Ovis aries: one gene and its partners. The protein of the gene in region 1 interacts with the protein of each later gene in a pairwise test. Links are inferred from orthologs where the notes say so. Each region holds a gene or a part of one and is shown on either strand. Other genes may lie near its edges. The genes, in order: NFYA, GTF2A1, ZC3H10 and POGZ.

Region 1 (7,463 bases):
GAGACTTGACGCTCACTGAGAACTGGCCCCGTCTTACCAGGTGATATATGTATCGTCCATCTCTCTTCAGAACAGCCACTTCTCCAGACTTTTTCTCTAAGAAAAACAGTTATTTAATAGTAAAAAAGAAACACCAAAACACTGATCTTCACTCTTAGATTTTTAAAAGATCTTCATAGATCTAAGTCTACTTCAGAAGTAGGATTAATTTTCAACTCTGAAGAACCCTTTGATCCTTATCAGCCTTCCTAAATACCATACACCTTAACTTCCAGTTTTCCTACTGTTTTAGGAAATCACGTTGTTTTCAATCACATTTTCTTCACACTCCATCTTCAATCCTGCTACATTTTCAAATAGCCTTTCTTGTTCTCTTAAAAAATGTTAATGTCTACTGCCTTGAAATGTTTTAGAATGTACAGCATTTTTCACTTGCCAAATGTGTATTTAATAATTTAGTAATTATATTTTTACATACAAACAGCTAATGTGTTAAGCATTATGGGGGAACATAGGTGTATTAACATTAAAAAGTTAATTATTTAACAGTTTCCAGTCAGGAGAACTATGTAGTGTTTTGAAACAAATATAACACAAAGCAGTTAAGAAGTTGCTTTCTTTAGGCTAGGAGCGGAATCACCAGTGGCAACTTGATTCAGTAAGCCTGGACTGTGGTCTAAGCAACTGTTTTCAGAAGCTCCACCTCTGATTCTAGTACACTTTTCTGCTTTACAATCACTGGGAGCAAGCAACAGGAAGTGTTTGTAAGGAAAAGTTCTAAACTCTGAAGCATAAGCACAGTATGGGCAAACAGAGAATCCTGAATGCCAGGCTAAAAACTGTGGATTTTGCTAAGCATGCCAGAGTTATTAAAGGCTTCAGACAAATGGAGTAATATTATTAAGAAAGATTTATGAAATACGGAGAAATTTAAAACTTTTACAAGAACTCAGGTTTCGTGGGCCAACCCAAACTAGAGACCATCTCTGAAGAGGAAAAACTTAATCTGCAGAGTTAAAAGGACTCGGTAGTTAGGAACCCCATCTGTGCATATATATCTTGTTTAAATTATTAAGCTTAAAAGGAGCATCAAAAGATGGTCTGGTCAGGGCATGTGAGTTCAGGTGCTTTCAAAACTCACGTTGATTCAACAGTTCCTGCACTCCTCCAAATTTCTTCTTGAAGAGGACAGCTATCCCAGCGCCCATTCGACAGTCCTCACTGATACAATGCACTAAAGAGTCTGTCTGGGGGCACGCAAATAGGTCTCCTTTCACATAAGTAATCTAAAATGTGCAAAGAGAAAGAAAACTTTTGTTACATATAGAAAAATACTAAGCTACTTCTTTTCCTTTACTGTGCCCACCACCACCACTACCTCTCCCCGCCTCGTCCCTCCTTCATTTAAGAGACAAGTGTTCAGAATTTAATGAGTTATCTAAAGCGAATTAAAGCATGTGCAAAGTAATGAGTGGGCTTGCCTAAGATTGTATCAGCCTTTCTAAAATAAATCAACAGAAGAGGAAAATAAGACAATTCAATTACTAGCTTAATTAAAAATGTGTGTGCTTTGACCTCAATCATTCTGAATTTCGGTTCACCAGTAAGTTAATAGTTGTTACGCACTCGGCTTCCTTCTGAATCTTCATTAGGGCTGCCAGCCATGATACTGGGTCACTATTTCCAGAACTTAAGTGTTTCTTCAGCTATAAAAAGGGAGTAAAAATGCTTAGGCAGCCCAAATATATTACATTCAGACTGCCCTGCCCACCCACGTTCGAACTCTTCCCCCCACCGTTTATCACTGAGTGTGACTTCTCTAGAAAGGAACGCAAAAATCCTCGGGGCAAGGAGAGGAATAATGCCTGGGTTCGGAGGCGGCCGTGACCCGATTGCATTTCGCGCTTTGCAGGAGAGGAAGAAAGGCAGTCCTAAGACCCGCCTCCTCCTTTCCCCGCGCCCGCGCCGAGCAAGGCTGATTTAGGACAGTCTTTTCTCTGAAAGATGCAGGAGTACTTCCCCATTGGGTCTAGCCCAGGGACAAAAAGGTGGGACTTGGCCACAGTCCCGTTAAGTCGCCAACTAGAGAGTGTACCGGTCAGGCGGTGTGTACTGCCAAGGCGCGAGCAGGGGTGAGAGGGAAGGTGGCCCCTTAAGGAAGACTCACCCCCATCTTTTTGCCGGGGGGCGGGGGGCGGGAACTGGGGGAAGAAGTAGAGAGAGGCCTCCCATTCTCCGTCTCCTACCCTAGGGCTGATCAGCCAGGGCGTAGGGCCTGTCCTGGGATCCCGTGGGAGGAAGCGAGGAGGCTTGCTCAAAGACCCAACGTACCGCCGTTACCCTTCACCTGGAAAGGAGTTGGCCGTTACGAGGTCCCGCCCCGCGGGGAAGGGCTCTGGTAGGTGGGTAACAGCGGACGAGCCCACGATGCGAAGCCAATCCCACCACAGCCTTTAATTGCGCGCACCAAAGATGGCCGCCCACCATCCGGGAGCCGGGCGGAAACGGGCCCCTCTAGCTAGCCAGCCGAACCTGCACTCTTTGGTGATGGCCGCCGAACTTCCGGCGGTGAAGCCCGACCGCCGCTGCCGCCCGGGCATGCGTAACGAGACAGCCGAATGCAAGTTCGGTAGAGCGGCGCCTGCGCATTAAGTCCCAAGGGGTGTGTCTCCAGGGGCCGCAAAGAAGAGGGAGGGCAGTTAGCAAAGGAGTTACTTAGCGCCTGCGTGCTGCTAATATTCAAGGCTCTGTTTGAGTGGAAGGGTCTGGCGCGCCTAGAAGACGCCTGCGTATTCCTTCGGCCGGGTGGGAGCCAATCAGGAAAGTGGGCGTGGCTAAGGCATACGCCTGCGCAGTGCTGCTTCTGCGGGGGTGGGGCGAGCCCAGAGCTCGGGGTAGGGGGCGTGGCCTAAGAGGCGCCTGCGCGGAGGCAGTTGGAGGGAGGCCCGATTCCCCTTTGTTCGACTTCGCCATTTTGCGAGGCAGCGGCAGTGGCGGCGGCAGCGGCGGCTGGAGCCTCTGATTGGGTTTCGGGGTCCGGTACTGGAGCCAATCAGCGCGGGCAGCGAACCGGGGGAGCGAGGCACGGTGAGTGTGAGGAGCCAATATCCAGCGGCCCAGAGCCGGCCCCAGCGCCCCGATTGGCGGGTCTCGCTGACCACTCAGGAGAGGCCCAGGCGCCTGTCGAGCCCCGGGAGTCGAGCTGAGTCTAGCCGAGCGGGGCGACCTGCTGCCCCGGACCAGAGCCTGCGAAGCTCTCCGGGGCACTCCCCACCGAGGCCTGCAGGGGGCCGCCCCGCGAGGGGATGGCGCCCTCGGGAGCAGGCATCTCGGGGCCCATACCCGCGCAGGGTGCCAGGGCCAGTTGGGGATGCGTCGCTGTTCTCCCCGACCCTTTGGCCCAGTTTCTCGGGCCCCAGACCCGGGGGTGTGGGGTTTGCCTTTCACAAGGCCCCTACGTTCAGGTATACACCCACTCGGGCCTAGGCAGTTTCCTCCTGGTCTTTCTGGCCTCACAACTTAAACCTGCCCTTGCACTCAACACGCGGCGGCCCCCGGGACGGAAAGTCTCCCCCCGCGGGTCCCGCGCACCCCTCCCCTCCGTGAGCGGGTCTGTCCTGTCTGCAGCTCTCCTAGGTGGGGAAGGAGAACCGGGGAAGACGCGCGCCGTGGCCACCGGGCCCCGCGTGCAGCGCGGACGGGGCCCGACCCGCCCCCGCGTCGACACTCTGAGGGCCCGCCCTCGCCGTCCCTCTGCAGGGGGGGTAGGGGGAGGGGAAGGGGTTCGTTAGTGCGCCCCCTTCTCGGACCCCGCTGCGCCCCTCCTCCTAGCGCACTCCCGGGTCTCCGGTCCCGGCGCCGTTACCACCCCCTTTTGGCTCGTCATTTCCTCTCTTCCCCGCCCCGATCGCCGGGCAGAACCGCACACCTCCGTCCTGGAGCCCATCCAGGCGGTGTCCCTTCCTTGCCCGGGCTGTAAGCCCCTGTCCATTCGGTGCCTGGAACCTCGCTCTTGGAAGATTGCGAGCTCTGTGCATTCCTTTCCCCCGAGGCTGCACAATTTGCTTTCATTAATCTTAATCTGTTGTTGCTCATTTCGTGGATTCTCGCTCCCTTAGGAATGTAGTTTCTTTTCCTTTCACCTTTCTGTGTCACTTCGAACATGTCAGACTTCACTCATTAGCTTGGTTCACAGCCATCTCTTGGTTTGTTTTTTGTTTCCCAGTATGTTGACGTTTTCTTGGGTATTTATAGAAACTTAACAGTCTTCTGGGGTTTTCATTAGGGTGAAAGGAAATCTCCTTTGACAGCCAAGTATCTAACAGTTAGTATGAACCAGGCGTCCATCTGCTGGGGGGAGAGTGATTAGAGGTCGATGAGAAGCCTGGTGGAGATTGACAGGTGAACAGGTAATTCATATCTCAGGGTTAGTGCTGTAACGGGGCCAAGTTCAGTTCTGTGATGTGTGAGCTAACGACAGCCTCGGTGGAAGGCCAGCATTGCCACACTTTTAATTGGCCTTGAAGGATAATGGGGTTTCTTTGGGCAGGAAAGAACGGAAGAGCATTGCTCACAAAGAGAAGAGCATGTGCTGAGGCACCAAACTGCTGTGTTCAGGGGAAGAAGAAAACGTTGGGCAGTGGGCATTTGTGACAGTTCAGTAGGTTGGGAAACGCAGTTGGTAAAACCACTTGTATATTTTGCTAAAGGATTTTTCAGAAGCAGTTATTTTGTGGAAATTTCAGAAGTCTGGAAGCACGTTTTTTTTTTTCCAAGTTTGGAAAAATAAGTTACTGGCTTATGAGATTCTGCTCCACAATAACAGCTGACTTTGGAGGGGAGGAAGGGAGATTTTTCTCCTAGGACTTTAGAATTTTTCATTCAGGTGTACTATTTTTCACAGTACAGCAGTCCTTGTTACATACAGTCAGCTTTTAGTATATGATGCCTATTTTTATAATCACATTTACTGAAGTCATAACTGGTAAGTTTCAGAAAGCTACACTAGTGCTCTTTCCACTACTAAAAAATTGGGGACACTTGTTTTCATTTTTGCCATGAATTTTTTATTGTTGAACACATTTTAAAAATTGATTTGTGAAATATCTGATAGATGGGGCAGTGTGATTTAGATATTTTTTAAGAACGTTTACATTTGCCTTTGGAGAGGATAAATACCTTGGGACTTAAAGATGGTAGTATGTGTCACTTTAAAATCAGCAAACATTTTTGCTAGACTTCTTTCTAATAGACAGTTATTGTCCGGTCATATTATTGCTAAACCCCTCTAGAAACCCTACCTATTTGCAAAAGAACTTCCTTGCCTGGAATTTTGAGTACAGTAATCTGACCTTTAGCTTTCTCTTGATGTGTGGCCTTTTAGCCTGCTGTTTTATATGTGGAAATTTTTCTCTTTGTTTTTATGCTATGACTTCATTTGGAGCACTCCATTCCCTTCCACTTCGACATGTGTAAATCCTACTTGTGCTTAAGACCAGGTCAGATGCCACATTTTTTCTAAAGACTTCATGACTGTCCCCAGTTTCTGTCCTTCACACTCTTTTGTTTTTTTCCTTTAGGGTTTGGGTATAGATTTTTACTCCTTTACTAAATTTAAAGACTTTGAAGTTAAAAACTTATAGTTTTCGTGTTATTTCTAAAACCTTCAAGACAGTGTTTGACAGGTGGTCCATCATTAGTGGGGATTATGCAAATTAGCTGCAATCCAGAAACCTTTTGGATGATGGGGATACAGGACAATTCTTTGTTCTCTAGTCTTCTATCAAACATAGATCAGGACCTGTTTGTTAAGTTGTGAAGTCAATTTAGTGGGCCAATGCTGGTAGTTTTTTACAGTAGGATAGAGAATACCACCATTCATCTTAAGTTATACTTACAAAGATCAGTTATGAAACTTTGTTACTTTTTAAAATACGTTCTCAGTGCATTTGTGATACGAAATGTGTTTCTTACTGTGAGCTGTCAAAAAGTTTTAGAAACTGCTCTTCTAGTCTTTGCCTGGTAGTGATGATCAAATATGATAATTCTGCAGGGTTTTTCACTTGTTTATTGAGGTTGAGTTTCTGGTTGGGTTAAATCGTGTGTTGGTCCAAAACAAATGGATTTCTACGTAGTTAGCTGCATTTCAGGTTCTGTACCTTGAAGTGAGGAGGAAGAGATTTTCTTGCTAACCAGAATAAACATATGTTCTTTCTGTCTTTGAGGAAAAGACATTCAAACTTTGAGGTAGGAGCAAGAACTAGACAGGCTAAATCCGGCTCACTTAATTCTGTCAGAATGTGGGCAGAAAAGCACTTCAGGAAAGACGACGTCAGATTATATTGCAGTTCTGCTAACTGAAGCTCACAGTAATGGGAACACATGGCTTCATAGAAGCTGGTGGCAACCGTTCATCACCATTGGCAGTCTAAATATCATCCTCCAAGCTGAATCACTCCTTCATTAATATATGACAGGAAATTGCTGTTAAACTTGAAACCCCTTCTGTTTTGACCCATCAGTATAGTGGATTTAAATGTTTTTAAGTTGTAGTATTTGTATGACGAGGATAAATTAGTTAAAACCTGGATGACATTTTATCAGTCATTTCTCTGCACTTCCAGTATGATGTAAATTTCTGGAAATTAGGGGTCAAGGAAAAAAATCTCACACAGGAAGGGGACTGAAGGTGGAGTGGGTTGTTAAAATACAGAGGACATTCCTTCCTGATCTTGTTTTATTAATCAACTCTTTAATCATTTTAAGTGTATGTTTTAATGGATTTTGATAAATTTATACACAAATGCAACCACCACCATAATGAAAAAATAAGACATTTTATCACCCCAGAAAGTTCCAGATGCTCTATCCCAGTCAACTTCCCTCTTCCCCCTTTTCCATTTCCAGGAAACCACTGATCTGCCTTCCATCTCTGGATTACTATTACCATCTCAGGGATTCATATAAATGAAGTCACACTACTCAGGACCTTTAATTTTTAATTTTATTAGCTTAGAAACATAAATGCATTGTGGGTATTGCAGTTAGAGACAAGATAGAATTTAGGAAAGACCATTCACTTCCCTGAAAGAGCCACTGAGTCTGGCTGAAAATCTGGTTTTCTGTACTGTTCCCAGAATCTCTGAGGAGCCAACTCAGTCAACCAGTTTAGAAGAGACATATAAAAATCAGAAGGCTGATTTGTCACTATGCAATGAGCATTAACTGTTGGGTTTACTTGTGTTACTGATCATATCTGCTCCCTGTTGGCTACTGTATATGTGAATCCAAATTATAGCTAGATGCGTGTTTGGTGAGCATTCCATTAGAGCAAGGGTGGTGAGATGAAGAGCCATATGGCCAGATACACTGTCAGGCTCAGCGGCGTAGTCATCCTGCCACTCGTTTATGGCTCTTACCCTCTGTACCGGTTTGGTTGTGAGTAATAGACTTGATTGAGCTTT
Region 2 (6,992 bases), on another chromosome or scaffold:
TAAATAAACTTCAGTTCTTCAGTTCCACTAACCATATTTCAAGTGCTTTAATAGCCACATGTGGCCAGTGATTACTATACTGGAGAGCAAAGATTATAGACTATTTGCATCATCACAGAAAGTTCTACTGGGTAATGCTGGCTGTCAAAACTGTTAAAACTAGGGCACATTCTGTAAACTCTAATGAGATCTGGAAGAAATTTAGTGCAAAGAATTAAAATAATGCAAACTCATTTCAGCCTAACAGTTTTATATTTAAGTTCAGCTACAACCCAGAATAGAAGAGTATGTCCCATTTAAAAAGCAACAAAAACATTACAATACTTTTTTCAGTTAGATTCTGGAGCAACATTTGTTATTAAGTTGCTTAAGTAAATATTTACTGAATGCCAATCACATACACCAAGCATTGTGGTAGAGGCTTGGAATTCAAAATAAGGCAATTTTTGTCATATTAAGCTAAGCACTAAACAAACAAAAAGTCAGTGCATAACCTATAGAGCATAGATATATATATATACTACTTTTATAATATACGTACATATATCTGCAAGTATGTGTGCACATATATGTAAAATCCTATGTACTAAAAATGTAGGTGGAGCTATTTGGTCTCAAAGAGTTCATTCTGTTTGAAGATAACGCCTTGATCCTAACTGGGACCAGTAGCAAAATATCAATCCCAGACTGTGAAAAGCTAGAGCAGATAACAACTTGGATTGACCACTAGTTTGACCAAGGGTAAATTAAAGCCTTTGGGACTAATTTTCTACACCTAAAAATGCTGTATCTTCCACATAAGGTCACAGAACTACATCATCTTAAGGGTTATAAGATAATTTGTAAAATATTCATTCCAAAAAACACTAAGAAATCAAAATAAGTGTATATTCTTCTTATTCATATCCCTGAGATACTTAATGTGTTTGAGCAATTTCCATTGCTATTCTTCCAACTCATATCTCAAAGTTGGCAGTCTTATATTTTTAGATACCTACTCTTCACTGGCAGTAACCATCACATTTCTCCTAAGGTAAATAAATGTTTCCTCGTCCCATTCAAACCTGTATTTTCCCTCCCTCACATGGGGAGACTTTTAATGAAAACCCTACAGAAGCTGCCTACAGATGCTGCAATATTCTAAGATATATTCTAAGATATATTCATCACCACAATACAAGTGAGATTTGCTTTATTTAAATTTATAAGTTGCTAAATTGCAGCCTCCACACTTCTGTTGAATGGATAAATAAGACCACAACAAGTGCTACATAGCATTCACTAACTGTGATTTCTTATTTATACATAGCTCTAAAGGAGTTCAATTTCCAGTCTCTAAGCCAGCAGTTTTAAAACTCTTTGGTCTCAGGCTCCTTTATCATTTTCACAAATTAATGAGGACCTCAATGAGCTTTAAAAATAAAAAATTATTTATTTACTCGGCTGCACTGGGTCTAAGTTGCTGCACATGAGATATTCCACCCTGTTGTGGAACGTGCACTCTTCAATCGCTGCACGTGAACACTTAGCTGCCGCATGTGGGACCTAGTTCCCTGACCAGGGATCAAACCCCGGCCTCCTGCATTGAAAGCATGGAGTCTTAGCCACTGGACCACCAAGCAAGTCCCTCAATGAGCTTTTACAAAATTTTAAATAAGATTTTAAAAAAACTTTTACTTACTTAAAAGTAACATGTATCCATTATATGTTAACATAAATACTTTCAATGAAAATAACCATGTCTTCCAAATAAAATTTAGTGAGAAATGGCTTAAAGGAAAATAGTTGGATTCTCTCATCTGCTGCATTCACTTTGTTTTCACTGACGTATATTAAGAAAATCTGTCTTCCCACAGCTAAGTAGCTGGGAAAGGAAGAAGTATTTTAAGTAATGGTTTCTTAAAGGTTAGCTGCAATGTACTATGTGAGACCACATACTAATTAACTTTTCATATTCTTAGATTAAAATCCATTCATTTATCTTTAACTTTGAAGGGATTTTGCAACATCATGCATTGGTCATTTGGAAAATGCGAGTCCAGTGTAGTATGCAGATAGGCCGATGTTAACACATCTCACTACAGAATATCAAACAATTGAATATCTTAATATCAACGATCTTATCTCAACCTTAAAAGTAAGCATATTTTTAAGTCAGTGCATCAAAATATGAAGCATGCATAATGCACTTCTGCTGCATATGGAGCAGTTATCTCAAGGAACAGCACTTGTTCATTTGAGTTTCAAGTTTAACTGGTCACTTTTTTCATGTAATACAACTTTTACTGGAAATGTGAGAGACATACTGTGATTATTCAGACTTGGGCACTGCTCCACCTCACTGACCCCTTGGAAGAGCCTGTGGGAAAGTCCACGGACCATATTTTGAGAATCACAGTTCTGAGCAGTAAGGTAAAAATACTCCTTGATTTCACGACTCTTAGAGCAATAAGAAAACACAAACATAAAATAAAAATATCTGTATTTTTCTGCTTAAATCCACATAAATCTAAGAGACAGAAAAGGAGCTCCCAAACTAGGATATATGATAAACCAAATACTTGGCCCATAGAGAAAATCCGACTCCAGAATGTGAAACTGATCAAGCACTTGCTCAATCTCTACAGCATACACATTTTAGAATATCCAGACATTGAGACAAAAAAAAGGAAAACAAAACCTTATAGGAATGTAAATATGAAGTTATTAGACCATAAATGAAACTGCCCACTAATAACAGCTAATACTATCGCCAGGCACTGTGCTAAACACTTCAGATAGTTATTACATTTAATCCTCAAAACAAACCTAAAAGGTAAGTACTATGAACTCCCATCTGACATATACGGAAACTGAAATATAAGTGGTTTGCCTAAGGTCAGAGGAAGAATGTATGGTAGAACTGGTATTCAAAACAAGCACCCTTCACTAATTACACCGCTTCCTGCAACAAAGTCAAATGGTCATCATATGAAAAAATAATGGGAGTATAGTTTTTCAATGAAGAGTGTTAAAAAAGAAAAAAACAAGGCAAACTCACAGTTTTTAGTTCCATCAGAACTTGTTCATCGACTCCATCATCCAAAAAGATGTCTCTCACATCATTAATAACATCTTCGATCACAGATCTGTATAGTTTAGGCTTTAAAGGGAAAATAAAAATTTAAGATTGTTGAAAAAGACTGTTTCTCACATTTTAAAATAGGTATAGTGTTGTAAAGTAAAATAAAGTTTAAAAAAAAAAGGTAACATGTTTTTACAAATTCAAAACAAATTAACACAATAGTCATTTTTCTAACTCTCTAAAACTTATTTTAGAAGATGTAAGTTTAAAGGAATGGTCATTGTAAAAAGATCATTTGCCTTAGTTAAACTGAATGACTTGATGACTGCATATTGTAACAAAAGTTTTATGACTATTTAATACAATTCATATTTAACAGAGAAGATCACTACACATAGAAGGCCCACACAATTTTCAGTTATAATTTCTATGTTGTTACAGTCAAAACAGTCAATGGGACCCAACAATACAGTATTACTGGTTGCTATGTCTGGTTTTTATTATTCCTTGCTTAGTTTAACCGGTTATATCTCCTAACCTCATCTCCCTCTTAAGAGTTCAGAGTCTTATGTTCTGTGATCATTTGCCTGGCAGTAATTTGAAAGTTAATGAGTATTCACATTTAAAATCACCTGATTTTGGCTTTTGTTACCCAGTCTGTACCTTTAAATTATACCATAAAGCCTTTCCTATAACCACAATAACAGGTCTCAGTCTCAGAGGAACAAGGCACAATGATCTCTTTTCCAGGATTTCTCTCCTACTACTGCCCAGAGAAGGAAATGGCAACCCACTCCAGTATTCTTGTCTGGGAAATCCCATGGATAGAGGAGCCTGGTGGGTTCATGAGGTCTCAAAGAGTCGGACATGACTGAGAGACTAAAACCAAAGAGCTGCCCAGATGACGCTATGGAACAGAATACTGAGCAGCTTTGATACTTATTTTTTAACCTATTATTATAACTGTTATTGTTGGCATTACTGGTGGGGGGGGGGGGGCGGGAGCTTTCAGAAGGTTGCCAAAAATAAAATGAGAATAGATGTGAAAGCACTTCAAAAGTATATAAAGTATTTTTAAAAAACCAAAAAGTAAGAGACAGAACAATTTGCCCAACCCATATCCTATTTTTAAGATGTTGGACAAAAGGAAGATTGCTGTCAGAGTTACCTTGTTATAAATTCTATCCATTATCACACAAAGCTATTAACAGCCTTTTTCTTTTAATGCTTTGTCATTATTTGAGCTTTATATCTTGCTTAAGGTAAAAGTTACTGCTACCCAATAAAACCAAAGGTTTGCTCTTATAAACAAACCTCAAATAGAAAAGTTTTATTAGCATCTCCATCAGCAATACTGTTATCACAGGGGAAATCTCTTAATGTGTCTTTGTCCAGCCAAAAATACAAGTATGTTCCTCTATATAACTTACCTCAACCATTAAAATCTATTTGTTCCCTTTCAATGCAACAGAAAAACAATGTATCTGAGTTCTCACCTTTGCTGTTCCACTTACTCTCTATTTTGCCAAATCTGTCTCTGTGAACTAAAATTATTCAAGTGACTTCTGCCATCTCTACAATATCTCCTTAAAATGTCTGATTCTATAAACAAGGGAAGTCTGCCTATGGATATTACTTGATCTATAGTGATTCAACTACTGAATTACAAAAATACATTTATAAAGTTTTTTTAACCAATGATTCAAAGCATTATAAAGATGCAGTGTAATTTTAAATTGGTAGTATAAATGTCATATTGACGATATAAATTAATTTTTCAGCAAAATAATTGTAATGTTTCTGAAGTTAGTCATCCCTAAATATTCTGCTTGGATATCTGCACATTTATTGGTACAATGTGCCTTCTTCTGGCACTCCCTAGTTAATGAAACGATCCTGCTTTAATATTTTGTTTTTCTGCTTTAATTAACCCACAACCTGACCACTTAATGCATTTGTATGCACTATAGTTAAAGGGAAATGTGTATTCATCATTAAGTACACAGAGAATTTTAAATTGTTCAGGAGTTAAAAAGCACCCAAATTACTGCTGTCTTTCAGAGTATGCGAGTACATAGGCAATATCTGAAAAAAGCAATTTCCAAATTATTATTTAAAACACTAAACTTTACTTGAACCAGTTTCTGCCTTTTATGGAATACACAGTAATTGAGGTTTGTCCTGGTTTTCAAATACCAGATATTCCAAACTCGTGAATTAAAGGGCCATTAGCGTCATTAAGTAACAAAGAATTTCTTTCAAAAGTGTTAGTTCCTAGTACAATACTGGAAAATAAATTGGATTAATTTCTACACGGGATACCATATGAACATGCAATGCAGCAAAAACAGTCTACTTAGAACTTTAATTTTTTAATACCCAGTTTGCACTAAGCCTCTTCACATTACTCACAATTCCCCTAACAATTACTGTACTGTAGACATAAGACTCTACGTCGAAGGTTTAGGCACTTCTCTATTTCTTTGAAAAGGTGTGTGTCTCAAACATTTATTACAGGAAAACATGATGAAATATTAGCAGCTGTATTTCTAATATGTCCTGAATGCTCGGTGAAAAAAATACTACCAAAATCAAACCCTCTACAGCTGGAAGCTAAAGCTTAAAAAAAAAAATAATAACTGACAATAATGCATGTACCTTCTTAAATACAGAAACGATTAGACATCTGAGCTTAAAATTGTTTTTAAAAACAAAAATAAAAAGAAGAGACGGCAAGTCTATTCTCCCCTAACAAAGACCGGCAAATCCCAGCTGCTGCGTCCAAACAAAAACTTGCGGCTGCGAAGGCCGCCCTGACTGGGCACGAAATTACAGTAGGCAGAAAAGGACCTAGAAATAAAAGTGAGCTCTGCACGCGCCTGCCTCTCGCCTCGGGAGCACGCACCTCCCAGCCCCGCTCTCAGCAGCTCTCACTATTTAAAGCCGGATCTGGTGTTTAAATGGAGAGGCGGTGACGTAGGCCTGAAAAGCACCTTCCCATCCTGGCAGAGTCTATATTAGAGAGCGGCAATGGCTCTATATAAACAGGGCAGCCAAAGGGAGGAGGACCACAAGGCTCAGGGACTGAAAAGCAGGGTAAGCGGCCGCAGCCATGATGGATCGACCCGAGTCGTCAACGGTACGGGGCCGGGCTGCCGCGGGGCTGGTCTGCGTTTGGGACCGGGCAGAAACGTTTGTTTTATTGTTAAAATAAAAATAAAAGAGAGTGGGGGTGGACTCGTGATCACACTGCGTTGTTGACTGACAGACAAGGTTATTTATGTGACTGCTTTTTGCAAACCTACGTGATCGCAAGTAAGGAAAAAAGAAAAAAAAAAGGGACCAACGGTGGCAAGTAGGCAGATTTCAAGGCGAAAGCGGGGCACTTTGGACCACTGGAGGCTTTGTTTTGTTTTGGTGCTTTTGCTAGTCGGAGGTATATACGACGTTGGGGGTTGCTTCCCCTTCGCCATTTTACCGATTCGGAAGGAACCGAAATAAGTGCTTTTCAACCTTCGTCTTTTTTTTTTTTTTTTCCAATAATACATAAAATGGCCCCAGTGAAGGCTCCCTAAGCACAACCGCCAGAACACCTCAGAGTAACCCCCAGAGTAGCCATTCGCCTTCCACCGCGTTAACAGTGGATCGCGGTGGGTCTCGAGGGGGGACTCGCCCGGCTCCCCCAGACGCCGGTTTTTTTTTTTTTTGAGACGGCTCGCGGGGAGCCCCTTCTCCTGCCGGTTCGGGGGCGGGCGGGCGAGGGGGGTGGTAGGGAAGCGGCGGCTCCCCTCCTGCCCTCCCCTCCTGGCGGCCGGGGGGGGTCCAGGGCCGGGACCGCGCGCTCGCCCCGGCCCAACCGCCCCGCGGCGGCCCCAGGCCCGGCCGGCGCCCCAGCCCTCCCCGCCGCCGGCGCCCCCTCCGCGAGCCT
Region 3 (7,792 bases), on another chromosome or scaffold:
AAATATCATAGAGATCATGACGTCGTCCTGGGGGAACGGGGCCTGTTGAACCCCCACCACCAGTGCCGCCTCCACCCCGAGCATCAAACTCAAAATCCCGTTGCAGGTGACGGAACTTGCACTTGGCTCCTCTCTGGCAGTCACCCTTGAGAAAGTCACGGCAAATTGGGACCTCCTCCTTCCCATTTGGTAGGTCAGCTGGTGACAGGCCTAGGCCGGCTGCCACTTTCTGCCTCAGCCGAGGGGGCAGCTCTCCTGTCTTTTTATAGCCATCCTCATCCTCCTTGGAGCCATGGATAAATCGGCAGTTGGGGCGGCTACACTCCTTGTTCTGGAAGTCATGGCAGAAGATGAACTCGTTTTTGCTTACTCCCAAGTTGGACACCTCACTCATGTCTGGATGGCGATAGCGGCAACGCTTCCCTCGCTTGCACACATTCCTCAGGAAGTCTCTACAGATGGCATCTGAGCTGGCCCCACCACTGCCTGCCCCTGTCCCACTGGCCTCCTCGCTGCCACCACCTCCAGGGCCTCCACTGCTGCTCCCAGTGCCGTTGGCATAGCTGTCCCGGTCAGGCATCCTGGTCCCTCCCAACTCAGGGCTTTCTTCCTTTTCTTGCCACTCTTGGTGACCGCTAGGAAAGAGAAGAACTGTGTCAACACTGGAGTCCTCCAGGAAGGCCAAACTTTTCCTGACTATCAGGCAATCCAACAAGAGGCAGGCCAGAGGGACAATGGTATTGGAGATGGAGAAGCTATCGGATGAGCACTCTGCCTGGACTGGCTGGCTTATCAGAAGTCCTGCCCAGGCCCTGTGCTCCTGGTCTGTGTCAGAATGATTCACACTTGCCTGGCTGATGGAGCAGAAGAGAGTTGGGGTGAAGCCACCTCATATAACCATGACATGCCAAAGAGGCAGAGGGCGGGAGAGATTAGTGTTGGATTTTATTTCCCCTCCTGAACTGACTTTATTAAATTTGTGGAAGCAAAATTAAAACTGCTGTCAGTGTCTGATCAGGTTAAGAGGAGACTAGAACTCTGGCTAAGATAAGCTGGTGAGCTACTAATGGCAATGGATAATGGGATACTGGTGACATTGCCTCCCTGACCCCCTCTTCCATGGGATGTCAGGCGAGGACTCTGTGAAGAAACAGATATCTAGACCCCAGGAAGTCCTGAGTAAAGAGACTGGTATCACCACCTTGAGGGCAATATCTAAATTTGTCATTTTTTGGAGTTCTCTCCCAGATTACCACTATTCTCAACTCTAGGATGGTCAGCCCCCTTCTCTCCATTTCAGGGGCAGAGTTCAACAGCTAGAATCTCCACTTATAGACCCCCAAAGAACAAAACCATTTGTGGCAAGATCAAGGCAATAGAAAGGTGTTAATTTCACAGGAACAAGTAACCTGTTTTTCTTCACTCTATACCCCTCCTACCCTCCATGGAAAGATCTCACTGACATCAAACCACACCATTCCTCACTCCAAGAAGATCTTCTTTATTTATAGACGCTATAAAAGCTTTTTAAGTCTCCTCTTTCCCAAGAGATCTCAGGAATGTCAGTCCACTGCCCTGGTTCTAACCCTCTCCTTTCCCCACCCCCAACAAGACTAGGAGTCCCTGCTACCACGTGTCTGACCTCCTAAGCCTTTCCTCAGCAGTGTTCAGGCTCCCCCTGCTGTTCAAATAGGAAAACTTCATATTGTTTCCCCTTGAGTATAAGGGAATCTTTACAACTTCTTTGGCCTTGATGCCCCCAACCACCCAGTCTGTTGCCTTGACTTTGCTTTCAAGGCAAAATGATCCCGAAAATATACCGACTGGATCACAGGCCAGAGTTGCAAAAGAATCTGTGAAAGAGGTCCTCTTCCTCCAACGGGAGGTAGTCCCAGAATAGTAAAAGCAATCAAGGAAGAGAGTGGGAAAAGAAAAGATACAAACTTTTACTAAAAGGGAACTGACCTGCTGAATAATAAATGGCATCTATCCAAGCCTGACCCATGTTACAAGTCCCACCAGAAGCAGATCTCTTCCCCACCCAACTTTCCCAGGATTGCGTGATACCTGAGGTAGCTCAGGTGAAGTCCGGGGCTCCTGTGGGTCTCCACCTCCACATCACTGCTGGGTTCTGAGCAGGAGAAAAACAAGAGACTTGGGTGTGAGAAGGGGTAAGAATGGAGAACTACAGGGTGGTTGCTGCTGCAAGAATGAAGTCTGACAAAATGGAAAGAGCTCTAGGCATTCCAAGATTTCCTTCGATTTCAAATTGAACTTCCCCTGTCAAGGGGAGAAGCTGCTAGTAAGAAGAGTAGTATGGGACAGCACTAATTTGGATGGCCTAGGAAAGAGAGTTGGAAAACCAGCTCTGAGTGAACAAAGGATAAGGGACGCTTCTCGAGATGAAGGAGAATGTAGGGATCAAAGCCCGGAGTCGGGTCAGGGTTAGGAACTCCGAATAGGGGGCCGTGCAAGGGCTGCGACTGACAGTGCAATGGGATGGCGGGTTAGACTTGGGGGCGGTGATTATGACGCTTCTCAACACCCAGAGTTTGGGGGTGGGGGGAAAAGTCCTAGGAGTTTCCCGGAGCAAGTCTTTGGCCTGGCAGGTTCTGTGCAGTGCCGCCGGAGCTCTGCCGGGGACCACATGAAAAGGACACTAAGGGAGCACGAAGTGAAGCGGGGAAGGGAACTCCAGGTGACATCAAGCAGAGGGGATGGGCAAGGGTGTGACGTCACGGAGCTGGCGTTTGCTCGCGAAGCGGGGTCAGTCAGAAAAGGGGTTCGGCCCTACGACGTGAGGAACAGCCAACTCTGTCCTGGGGGGCCTTGTGTAGCCCGGCCGAACCCAGCCGCTGGGCCGGCCCCGACTCCTCCCCTCCGGGCGCGGCCTCCACCTAAGTCTCCCGCCTCCCTCACCTGCCGCCGCCGCCGTAGTTGCTGCTGCCGCCTGCCGGTCCTCTAGCTTCGACAAAGAGCCGCCTACCCTATCGCCCTTCCGCTTCCTGCGGAAGAAATGACGCTCTAGCTACCAGACCCGGAACCACACTCTGTGGTGTGCGAAGTACTTGCGCGACTAGCAGCAGGAAGTTCCCAGCAAGCTTTGCGTGTCACCATGGCAACCTGACCCAAAGCGGAATTCTGTAACGTGGACCTAGATAAGAGCGGACCTGGTTGCTCCTGTGCCCGCGAAATCAACTTGAAAACCGTCCCTGGCGTTTACGCGCTTTCCAGGAAGTAAAGGCCACCCAATCCTCTAGCAGCTCACAAGACCGGAACCCACACCTCTCCGCCCCCCCCGACTTGTAGATATAAAGCTTGACTTTTTCTAACACAGGGAGTAGAGACAGACTGTACTGATAAGAGAATCCCCAGCTAGTTTAACCATAAAAAACCACATAACACACAAAATTTTTCTTCAGCTAAGACAGCAAGAGATGATTTATTGTACACGTTACATTCAGCCACAACTGAGAAGAGAACTAGTCCATAGTTATCACAGGTCCAAGGCAATAAAAGGGACGGCTTTGATATGAGCAAGGTAGGTCTCTCAAAGGTGGTCAAGGCGATCAGAATGGCCATAGATGTTCCAGATCCATTGAGAAGTTCTAGATAGTAGGCATGCAGTCCACACTTTGTATCAGCGTCCCTGGCCTCTGGCTTCCCTTGTTTCTGCTTCTGTGGCTTCCACAGGTGTACAAGTTTACTTGGACCTCTGCCTCATCTTTCTTCTTTTGCGCTTCAGCCTGAAAACCAGACATAAGAATACACCTCGGTCCCACAAACCCGAGTTCAGTCTTTCCCTCCAATCTTAAATGTGCACCCAATACAAAGGAAGGTAAAATCAACCAACACTACGATTCTGTCGTCTTCTGCTCAATTCATGGCTTTGGCCAGTCAATGCTCATAAGTTGTTTTGGATTTCTAAACCAGATGTTCGTCCCAAGTTTTGTCCACTTTCCTTCACTCTCCCAGCCCCACCTCCTACGTCCCAGCATACCTGCGCATTCGCTTCTTCCTCCACTGGCAACCGATTATAAACCAAGGACAGAGAATAAAATATCATTAGTTTCAGTAACAATGTTTAGATAGGGATATGAAGAACACTAGGGGAGGCTTCCTCGGTGGCTTAGACGGTAAAGAATCTGCCTGCAATGCAGAAGACTCAGGTTCAATCCCTGGGTAAGGGAGACTACCTGGAAAAGGGAATGGCAACCCACTCCAGTATTCTTGCTTGGAAAATTCCATGGGCAGAGGAGCCTGGCGGGCTACACCCCACAGGATCGCAAGGGTCGGACACGACTGAGCGACTAACACTTTCATAACTTCCATGAAAAGCACTACTTAGAACCGGGTGGATTCTTGATCAAGTAGGAGGGCTTAGTCGCAATAAACCACATCAACAATCTGGACTGCCACCTGGATCCCAGACGTAAAACCCTGAATCCTGCCTGCATGCGCTCTCTCCCACTTTCAGCATCTCTCGCCACAGAACTTACCTACCACCTACTCTGCTTTTCCCCACAGAACTTACCCACCACTTAATATGCTTCTCCTCAAACTATCCTTCCTCTCCCACTAGCTCGTTAGCACAACCTAAGAACCCGGCGAAACCGGAACGATGGCCGATTTCCCTTGCCAAGGTCTCCCCTACCAACAGCCAATTCTTACAGCTTTAGCTCACTGGCAGGGACTGCTTACCTTCGCTCTCATGGCGCAGAGGTTTCTACGGGTAAAGAAAAAAAGTCTGCAGTTAGTTTGCTGTAATGATGGTAAGTGCAGAGATCAGATGTTTATGGATTGCAGTCGGAACACGAACACAGGCATCACTGACACTCACCTCAAAAGATGGCGCTAAGGCCGAGAGATCGCCAGGGGCTCGCCTACGGATATTTAATGGAATACTCAGTGTCGTCACTTCCGCTTTCTCGCCCTGCCCCTAGGGGCGGGATTGCCCAAGGGGCGTAACGATAGTGTTTGGCAGTTCGCTGGTGTGTGAAGTGATTAGGCTAGGAAAATTCTGTTGGAAATCAGTATTTTGATGTACAAGATTCCTCTCACCTGTTTTATTATGAGGATACCGTATTATTTAGATATGAGCACATATTTCCAATAAGAGACCTAGAGGCGCAAACGAGCAAAGGGTAGCTACTTCCGCCTTTCCTCCCGTTGCTTCATGGGAGTTGCAGTTTCCTGGAGACATCCTCCATTTTACTGTGGATTGAGGCGGACTGTACAAAAAGTCCTGATTTGTTTTACTGGTTTACCTTATTTATTAAACTAAATATCTGCAGGTTCGATTTTGGAACTTCTAAAGGTCCTAAGATTGCAGAACATTGAAAGGATATAAAGCGGGGAATTGAGAAAGCTGTTATACTACAAAAAGAGACCTTTGTTACTGTGAAAAATAAACTTTTTTCCTAGTCAACTGGTCTTTCCCTACAATGCCTGAGGCAGAATGTCATAACATTCCTGGCGACAATGCATCTTGTTTAGAAAATACTTCAGTGATTCTCCCTCTTCAGAGTGTGTGGTAAGTCGCTTCAGTCCTGTCACATTAACAAATTAACGACAGATCTAATTAATGGACAGAAGGAAAGCCCGATCAGCTACATGTATCTTTAGGCAGGAATAGTATTTGGTGATATGACAGCTTCCCAGTATCAAGATATGGTTAGGTTAGAAGCACCCAAAAAAGACACTGTAAGATTTGGCTGCAGAAAACGTGTATTATGAAGGATGAAAGAAAACCCTTCATCATACGGACTTCACCTTATTCACTATAAGATGGAATGAGGCTTGTTATGATTCCTTTTTTTAGCGTTTTCTCTAGAAAATTTCACCGTTTTAGTTCTGGAAAATTAGATTTCTAAATTTCAAGTTCTTAAGTGGCTCTAGAATTGTCACCAATGGACTGTAATGTGTTTGAAAACAAAAATAACCACCCTCCCCACCAAGATATCAAACCCACTGGGATTTCACCTGTTGATTGCTATAAACCCTTAGGAAGAGATCTGTGTTCAGTTTGTTTCAGTTTAATTCAGTTAATTCAGCAGTAACATATAAAAAATGCTCTAATACATGCATTACCCATCAAATCTCAGGGTAGCTTGAAAAATCACGTTAACACTAAAGGCATTCTTCCTGGCTTCCTAAGCCAAGACAATCACTTTGCAGTTTAATTTTTTTGCAATAAACATTGTGTTCTAAATAGTGTCAGCAGTAAGGGGTATGTTTTTACTTCAGAAAACTAGACCAAACTCCCATAGAAAATGACCATTAATTCACAAAACCCAGGAGTTTTATGTCTTCCCCCAACCCAAGTTATTATTTTAGAAAAGCAGAATATGGCTATAGAAAAGTGGTTTCAGGGATTTCCCTGGCAGTCCAGTGGTTTAGATTCCATGCTTTCACTGCAGGGGGTACAGGTTTGATCCTTGGTTGGAGAACCAAGATCCTGCGTGGCATGAGGCAAGGCCAAAAAAACCCCCCAAAACTGGTTCCAGATGATCATCACTTCAGCTCACTCTCCACCATCAAATAAGAGCAGCATACAGACACGTGATTATGAGCAAATCCAAATTTATTTTAATGCCATATCATTTTCAATGTGTTTAAAAACCTCATAAGTTAGTGGGAGCCCTAGTTCCCTGGGACAGCATGCCAGAGGTACTGAAAGGTCACCTTTCTCTCCAAACCCCTAGCAATTAATCCAAGTCCACAGCTTCAGAAAGCCAGGAGTTTTGTCTCTTCAGTCTGCTCCTCTGGTTATACATCTTTCTTTCAAGGAAGGGAAGTAAAAGTATTTCAAACAGGGAACAAAACCACAGTGGAGCTTCCAGCTCAGGTTTCTAAGATGGAGCAAGGGAAGAACCCCACTGACTTCAAAGAAATGGACAAAGTTGAGATGGATTACTTCTTTACAGCCTTGTGGAGGGAGGAAAAACTGTCCTGTAGAACAAAACTGACTACAAAGACTTACAAATGAGGATCCAACTGACAGATGAGAATCCATTGGTAAATGCAGGCTCCAGCTCCTAAAAATGGGAGGGGCCTGGCTCAACAGCCTGGATCATAAAAGGAATCTGCCACATGTGAAGAAAAACAGTCTGAATAGCTCCTCTCTATTTTGAGGCCTGATAAAAGACTTGGGGAAAGTGGGAACAGAGAGAGGAACAAGCCCAAACAGATGGGAAAATGCTGACACTGGAGTGGTATAAAAAAATTTCATCTGAGTTTTTAGTGGTGGTGGCTGTGTTAGCCTCCTCCCGTTCTGTTGTAGGGCCATAAACCTTGACCAAGCAGAGAATAGTAGAAAAAGGCTAGAAAGAGGGGCTTGAAAACGATGGATTTTGACTCCTGATTTTATTATTCAATTTCTCTTTTCTATTTAAAGTAGTCTTCGGTGGCTGGGAAGCCTGGCCTCCCAAGACCAGAGTCAGTTGGAGCTGGTTGTTGTTGGAAGGGGCTGGGATGGGGGACTGGGAGGAGGACAGGGAGACCCCGCTCTGCTCGCGGTCCTGGGTGGAGAAGTCGAACTGCACTTCACAGAGCCTGGGGTGTGGCGGGAAGGGGATGAGGCAGGAGTGGCAAGCTGGGGGGACGGGACCCACCTCAGTCCCCAGCTTCATTCTCTTCTAAAGTTTCCCCACTGGTAGCATTCTCTGCAGTCTTAGAGGCCTACATTCATGGAAAGGAGAGAAGATGTGTCAGTTTCCAACAACTTAGGGTACTGTCTGGGGGACCAAGGACAAGAGTATTCCTAATTCTCTAGGTCAGGGCTGAGAGGAGA
Region 4 (6,992 bases), on another chromosome or scaffold:
GAAAAAAACCCCATACTTTTATTTTGTACTCCTTCATGCGCTAAGTTTACCTTCAACTGCACTCCTCAGTCCCCTTCCACAGAAACAACTTGTTACCAGCTTCCTGGGTATTCTTTCACAGATGGTCTGTGCAGATAACCATATAGCAAACTCAAATGTCTCCATTCACCACCCCTGTTTTCCTTTCTCTTTTTTAACAAACAAACAAACAAAAAGTACTTTCCTACACAGTGCTGTTTTTTTTTTCCCTTTTAACACATCAACACAGATATGCCTCCCTGAAAGGCCATTTTGAGGATTCAGTCTGCCCAGTATCGAAACAGGACACGTCTACGATTCCTTCCTAGGACAGCGAAGGCTCTGTAACATCAGCTACAGGTGGCAGTTCCTATGCTAGTATATGGAAATACACCAGTGGGGGATTACAGCAGTCACTATGTGTGAACCTAAGAAGGTGCTTACAAGCGAGAAGCCAGGGCACGCGTGCACACACGTGGATGTCACCCACTGGTGCACCCATCTTGTTCTCTGTTTTGGTCCCTCTCTATGTACCTTCACTCGCCTCCTCTAGGGGCTCCTTTCCTGCAGCATTTTAAAACCAAGGCTTATATATTCCATCTTCAAACCAAAACACAGCAGCAGCAGCAACTTCTCCCTTGCTCCTCCTTCCCTGCGTCTGCCACCCCTGGTCCTGCCCTTCATAACTTTCTTTAAGTAAGTTCTCTCCATTCCTTACCTCTCATTCATCCGTCCCACTGAAATCTGGCTTCTACCCTGCTGACCAACGAAATGGCTAAATTAAAGGCTGGCCTCTCACGTTTCTATCTTGCTGATACCTTCTTGCAACATTTGACCACACATTTTCCTTCAAAATGCTTTTGTCCCCGCCTCTTCCTCGACATCACGACTCTTTGGATTTTCATCCCAGGACTATGGCCCTGGCTTTGTAGAGAGAGAACTCAATGGTCTTTCACCTTATTCTCAATTTGGGGGTTTGGGGGTGGGGGTGAAGCTTCGCACTTTCAAGTTTAAATCTACTGGATTTATATAATGATGATTTCTAAGTATCTTTCACAATTCAGGCCTCAGACCTATATATCCAACTATTTAGTACTCAATTACACTTGATGTCCATAGATACTGCCAACTCAGAATATCCATCCAAACAGAATCCTCCCCTCAAAAGTTACTTTCTCCAGTGTTCCTATCTCAGTATAGTCTCCCCATTCATCCAATTACCCAAGACAGAATCCTGGGCACTATTCTTAACTACTTCCTCACTACCTTCACCTAATCCATCTCTAAATTACAGATAGCACTTATCTTCTCAGTATCTTGCAACTCTAATCCTCTTCATTTCAAAAGCCAATAGCCACTATCATCTCTCAGGTAAACTACTGAAAAAGCCTTTGGCTTGTCTCCCTAACTCTTGGAGCAGCCAGTGTAATCATAACTAAAAGCAAATGTGAACACATCACTCCAGGATTTGAAAATCTCTTCAATGGCTTCCCAACATCAACTTTTGTTTTAATTAACAGAAGTCTGTATTTTATGTTGATTTGCTTAGTTTTTACATACACTCTCTTTTTTGGTTCTAGGTTCCCATCCAGGATACCACCTGGTATTTTACTAGTCATGTCCCGAAGTTCCTCTTGGCAGTTTTCCTCAGGCTTCTCCCAACTTTTTATAATAAAAGATGAAGCGCCTTTTTATTTTTTAAACTATTTTATTTTTTGGTCAGTTAAAGCCACAGGTTTGTTTACTGGTCATGCCGTGAGGCATGGGGGATCTTAGTTCCCTGACCAAGAATCGAACCTGGGCCCTGCATCTGAGAGTGCAGTCTTAAACAGTGAAGCGCCAGCAAAGCTCTGGAGACTCCTTTTTATGGCTCTAAGATTCTCCATGATATGTTCTCTAACCTCCAACCTCCCCCATACCCTACACACTCCAACCACACTGAACTTTCAATTCCTTGAGCCTCCCTGTGCCTCTGAGCATGCTGTCCTTCTAGTCCACTTCACCTGGCTCATCCTTCCTCATCCTTCAGGTCTTGAACAACACTTTTCCTGGAAGACTTTCTAGGTTCCCAGAGCAGGTTATGTTCTTTTTTATATTCTGTATTTCCCCTAACACAACATTGCTCCTGCTTTATTGTACTATTTAACTGTCCCGTTTAACCACTAAATCTCCAGCATCTAGCCCAGTGCCTGGTACATATTACTGGAATTCAATACATTTTTCAAACTCACACATATAATCTTCTCCACCAAAATTATTTGCCTCGCTCAGATCTGGCCCCAGCACCCATAATTAAGCAGGGCAATTGCTTGGTGTCTGGTACCTGGTGCCTCATGTAATGCTGCTGGAACGCACTGCCATTTTTGAAGACCTTCAAGCAGTAAGGGCAGAGCAGGTGCCGAGTATCTTCATGGATCATCCGAAAGTGGACGTCCACCTCAGAGTAGAGTGAGGAGCGGTACTGGCACACCTGAACCACATAAGGGAAATAAGCTACAAGTGAAGTGAACAACTGAGGCCTTAGAAAAGGGGTAGCAACAAAGTGTTAACATAGAAAGAAAATTTCTCCTAAATGTACAGAAATCAAGTTATTTTTCTGAATTTGTAATGCAGAGTTATGTTTGTGATCATGAATTCAGCCGTGAAATATAGTAAAAATGGGAAGGACAGGAAAGTCTGAAAAGTCCAAATTCTCGCTAAGAGGAGCAGATTTTTTCCTATCTCCACAGGAAACATTCAGGGGACAGACACTCCCTCACTTTTAAAAAACTACGTATTTATTTGGCTGCACTGGGTCTAGAACTGCATGTGGGATCCAGTTCCCTGAACAGGAATCAAACCCAGACCCCTGCACTGGGAGTGCAGAATCCTAGCCACTGGGCCAACGGGGAAGTCCCAGACACTCCCTTACTACAGGCATTGTGTTCCAAGACTGGGTTCCTCAGCTGGGTACATGCATATATCCTTTATGTTTTTCTCCTGCATGAAGAACCCTGAAAATAGAACCTGGGTTCAGTATTTCTTTTGTATTTCCTCAGTGTTCCTTAAACTGAGTATGTGCAATAGATACTGGGCAGTGTTCATTAGTGGAATCTTCACATTCAGCCCGAGAGCAAAAGACCAAGCAAAGCTCCCTAAGGAGAAGGCCGTACCTGGCAAACATAAGGCATCTCTCCAGGCTTATGAGTGTCCTTCATATGCTGGAGAAACAGTGGCTCGCTCTCAAATGCCCACTCACAGATCTTGCACTTGGCTGTGAGAAGAAAAACAATCGGTAAATACACTCGAAAATATGACCAAAATCCTGCTGATTCATAATCTTTACTTTCTGACTCCTGTATCTTCATTTGCAATAGTATTAGTAACTTATGGGGTCTCTTCTTTTCTTTAAAATGGTTGTCAACAGTTGTGTTGCTGATAAAAAGTATCCTTCTGTCTCTAGCTCAGATGTCTTCACCAAAGCTCCTTTCTAGATTTTGAACTCTCTACAAGACATTTACACAGGAATAGTTTACCATCTACAAATATGGATTTGTCCTTCAAAGACTGACAACATGAACAGAATTTCTTGCCTTCTTATGAGTTATTGCTAATAAACTGAGATAATTAAACTTTAAAATTAGCCATTTTATCAAATGTCTATGTAAGGCTGCAATTCTAAATTTTTGGCAAATATTTTAATTGCTACATACTGTGAATTATACAGGCAAAATAAAGACAGTTATTTGTATTTTTCTTAACATTACTAAAATTATTTTCAAGTTTTTGTGAACACAAAAATTGTAAATTGGAAGTGCTAAGCGCTTATTTACTGTCTAACCCCTGCCCACCACTCCCAAATGAGTGAAGCTGAAATAAAACAAATGAACAAAAACCAGGGGTTTTTAATACGGGGTCCAAGGAACCCAGGTATCCCCTGAAATTATCTGCAAAGAGTGAAATGTTTATTTTGGGGGGAAGTTTTGTGTCGATTCTCAAAGGCATCTGCAACCCATTTAGAACCACTTCCCAGAAGTACATCAGGTATGAGAACCAGATAAATAAAAAATTCTGCCTAGAATGAGGAAAAGTTGATCACGTAAGTTGAACCTTGAAAGAATAGTGATTTGCCAGACAGAGAAGACAAGAGAAGAACTTGAGCAAAGGCATGGAACTGCATGACATGTTTGGGATACTGTAACTAGTGGCATGACAATCTTTTCTCCTGTTTTCCTGCCCTTTACTTCTCAATTCACTTTGCTTAGCTTCTTTTTTTCTTTTCTAGAACACTTTAAAGCACTGGTATTTCCCAGCCTTCTGTCCAAGCCTTTTCCTAAATCAGCTCTATTGTTACAACTGCCTCATAATATCAATAGTAACATTTATTAAATAATTTCTAATGCATAAACAATATCCTAAGATTTATATGGATTATCTCATACACAGAAAATCAGTGAGAAAGGAATCAAAGCCATCAATGGATTTAAGGGATCTCTAATAACCTTTCACACCTGTTCTAAGGGGAAGGAGTTGATTTGAAGAAGATTCAAGAGGGAAACTTGACTGATTTTCCAAAGTGGCCATCCTAACACTGTCCCTCCCAGCACTGTCACCCTCACCTCCTTAACACCTACCTCAGTCTCTTGCTTTGAGAAAACAGGTGTGAAATACTATAGACTCTGCTTCCTGCTTTCCAAACTTGGAAGAACAGATCCTTTTTGCCTTTCTAAGGTTCATCCAATCTCATCATTCCATGTATATATACCATGACTTTACTAAACAAGGGGTTCTCCCTTTCCCGAGTCTTTCTTCACAAAGAATCCTCCTGACATGTGAACACAAGAAAGCATCTATCCCTCAACCTTACCTCTTCCTTCATCTATTGCCCTTAAACAAGTTTAAACACAATAACCCACTGATGTTCTGGAGACAATTCAGGAAACTTGAAAATGAAGACAGATGATGTTGAAGATTTATGATTAATTCTGTTAGGTCTTGATAAAGATACTATGGCTATGTTTTTTGTTTCTTTCTTTCAGGCTGGAAATGACGTTTACTAAAGTGTTAACTGTATCAGCTGGACTGATCAAGTTTATACTTGTTTAAACTTGTAGTTATCACAAAGTATGACTTCCATTAGAACCCGTAGCTTGAACACAGATCTGGTTGCTCAGGGCATGAACCCCAGGAAGACCACTGGACTCTTGTCGCACCTGGCCTCAGTTTGTGACAAAAGTCCCACTCTCCCTGGGTGTCTCCCATGGCGTCTGCTCCGTGGGTTGTACAAGAATGATTTTACGTATGCAGAGCCATCTACCTGTTTCAGAGTAGGGTAGTTATGCATTTGCTCACATGAATAACCAAGTGTGTCTCTTCCCATCACCCTTCAGAACCCGCATTCTTCAGGGACCCATCCTAAGTGTTCCCTAAGATTCCTGATTGCGGTCCATGTAGAGTCATGAGATCTGCAGTGGGTTTTAACTCTTCAGTAAACGTCAGCTCTCTTACCTCTTGGCCCCACGTTGAGAGGTGTAGGTGGAAAAAGGCCATCTTTTCTGATGAGGACGGGAATGCCTATGTATTTTAAATGTCCTTACTTTTCAGAGATATATAATGAAGTATTTAGGAGTGAAACGTCATTATGTCTATAATTTAAAAACACTTCAGAAAATAAAAAAAAAAATTTCAAAACTAAAAACAATGATCTCAAGATGTTAACATGAAAAAATGAGCTACTTTCATGAAGGATCTGCCACAGATGCAAAAAAAAGGGAGTTATAAAAGAATCCAAGAGTAAAATTGATATATACTAAAGCACAGAAAAGGCATTTACCTGTGTTCGGATCAACAATGTCTGGGTTTTTCATCAGTATAAACCGAAGTCATAAAATACTCAAAAAATTAAAAGTCAAGGATAAAACCGTGGTAAACGAAAAGGAAAAGACTGATGAGGTTCTGCACTGTCCACTTTGTTTTTTCCCATTAGGAAGAACTTATCTTGTTATGTATAGTACAATATGTAAGTGGACTACCACACACCACCAGATCTGTATAAAAGCAGATGTTTTCGCTGGGAGATTCAGATGAGTAATTTGGACTTTCCATCACTGACAGTGAAGAACGTGGGACCTAACTTAGACCAAGTTGCTACTCTGCTGCATGTGGTGTTATGATGGTTGAAACCATTATCTACTCCACCCACTAACTGTTAGTCCAAAGTTCCACTGCCTTCTATAGGAACCACCAGTATACACATAGCTAGTGACATATGAAATGGGATGAGCTCAAATTGAGACTATTTGCTCTGGTGTACACACTAGATTAAAAAAAAAAGAATAATTTAAAATTTGTTTATTAATTAAAAAATTTTGATTATATACTAAGATTATCTTGGCTATTTTGAATTAAATAAAATATACTATTAAAGTTAATTTCACCTTAAAATATTTTTATTTCAAATGACTACTAAAAAAATTAAAATTACATACACAGCTCATTATATTTTCTGTTGATAAGCACTCATCTGGGCCACTCATGACAATCCTACTTCCCTTAACAATATGATCACAGCCAAAGAGATATAAACGGAAAACAATTCTGCCTTACAAGGAACAGACCTAGGAAAGACACAGGAAGACATGGCCTCTTTTTCATCTGCACAATCTTACATTTGAACGAATTCCTGAGATTAACATAGCTTTTCTGCTAGAAAGCCAGAGACAAGAAAATTGTTGAAAAGTAAAGACTTAAGTTCTGGGCTTGAAGCTTACTCCACCTTAAGTCTTCTCAGTTAAAGGATCTAATCATAGATGTCTTTAATGTTTAATCCATTTTTAGTTAAGATTTTTAATCTGCAGCAAAAGCATCTATATTATGCATATTTTTCTCTCTACATGTTTGCTCATGCTGTTCCCCATCACATAAAATCTTTTCTTACTGTTTTCCATCCACCTAAATCCTTCTTGTATTTAAGACCAAGTTTATACATTACCTAT

Evidence for each region.
Region 2: the proteins of NFYA (region 1) and GTF2A1 interact in binary tests that used the Homo sapiens proteins (3 or more experiments, as listed by UniProt). The two-hybrid records come from large-scale screens. The link is inferred for Ovis aries from reciprocal best matches to the Homo sapiens genes NFYA and GTF2A1.
Region 3: the proteins of NFYA (region 1) and ZC3H10 interact in binary tests that used the Homo sapiens proteins (3 or more experiments, as listed by UniProt). The two-hybrid records come from large-scale screens. The link is inferred for Ovis aries from reciprocal best matches to the Homo sapiens genes NFYA and ZC3H10.
Region 4: the proteins of NFYA (region 1) and POGZ interact in binary tests that used the Homo sapiens proteins (3 or more experiments, as listed by UniProt). The two-hybrid records come from large-scale screens. The link is inferred for Ovis aries from reciprocal best matches to the Homo sapiens genes NFYA and POGZ.

Annotation. Positions count from the first base shown.
Region 1 is NC_056073.1:15,032,893-15,040,355, forward strand, and holds the start of NFYA (nuclear transcription factor Y subunit alpha), read left to right. Parts: upstream 1-2,971; 5' UTR 2,972-3,087; intron 3,088-7,463. Other genes in the region: ADP-ribose glycohydrolase OARD1, read right to left, coding at 1-96, 1,142-1,286, 1,627-1,665. UniProt on the Homo sapiens protein: Component of the sequence-specific heterotrimeric transcription factor (NF-Y) which specifically recognizes a 5'-CCAAT-3' box motif found in the promoters of its target genes.
Region 2 is NC_056060.1:90,687,197-90,694,188, forward strand, and holds part of GTF2A1 (transcription initiation factor IIA subunit 1), read right to left. Parts: intron 6,204-6,992; exon of another isoform or gene 6,130-6,203; intron 3,143-6,129; coding exon 3,041-3,142; intron 1-3,040. UniProt on the Homo sapiens protein: TFIIA is a component of the transcription machinery of RNA polymerase II and plays an important role in transcriptional activation. TFIIA in a complex with TBP mediates transcriptional activity.
Region 3 is NC_056056.1:163,419,367-163,427,158, forward strand, and holds the start of ZC3H10 (zinc finger CCCH domain-containing protein 10), read right to left. Parts: upstream 4,868-7,792; 5' UTR 4,841-4,867; exon of another isoform or gene 4,727-4,840; 5' UTR 4,702-4,726; intron 4,024-4,701; exon of another isoform or gene 3,854-4,023; intron 3,747-3,853; 5' UTR 2,920-3,746; intron 2,132-2,919; 5' UTR 2,068-2,131; exon of another isoform or gene 636-2,067; 5' UTR 581-635; coding exon 1-580. Other genes in the region: PA2G4 (proliferation-associated protein 2G4), read right to left, coding at 7,615-7,680. UniProt on the Homo sapiens protein: Specific regulator of miRNA biogenesis. Binds, via the C3H1-type zinc finger domains, to the binding motif 5'-GCAGCGC-3' on microRNA pri-MIR143 and negatively regulates the processing to mature microRNA.
Region 4 is NC_056054.1:101,346,622-101,353,613, forward strand, and holds part of POGZ (pogo transposable element with ZNF domain), read right to left. Parts: intron 3,272-6,992; coding exon 3,171-3,271; intron 2,489-3,170; coding exon 2,342-2,488; intron 1-2,341. UniProt on the Homo sapiens protein: Plays a role in mitotic cell cycle progression and is involved in kinetochore assembly and mitotic sister chromatid cohesion.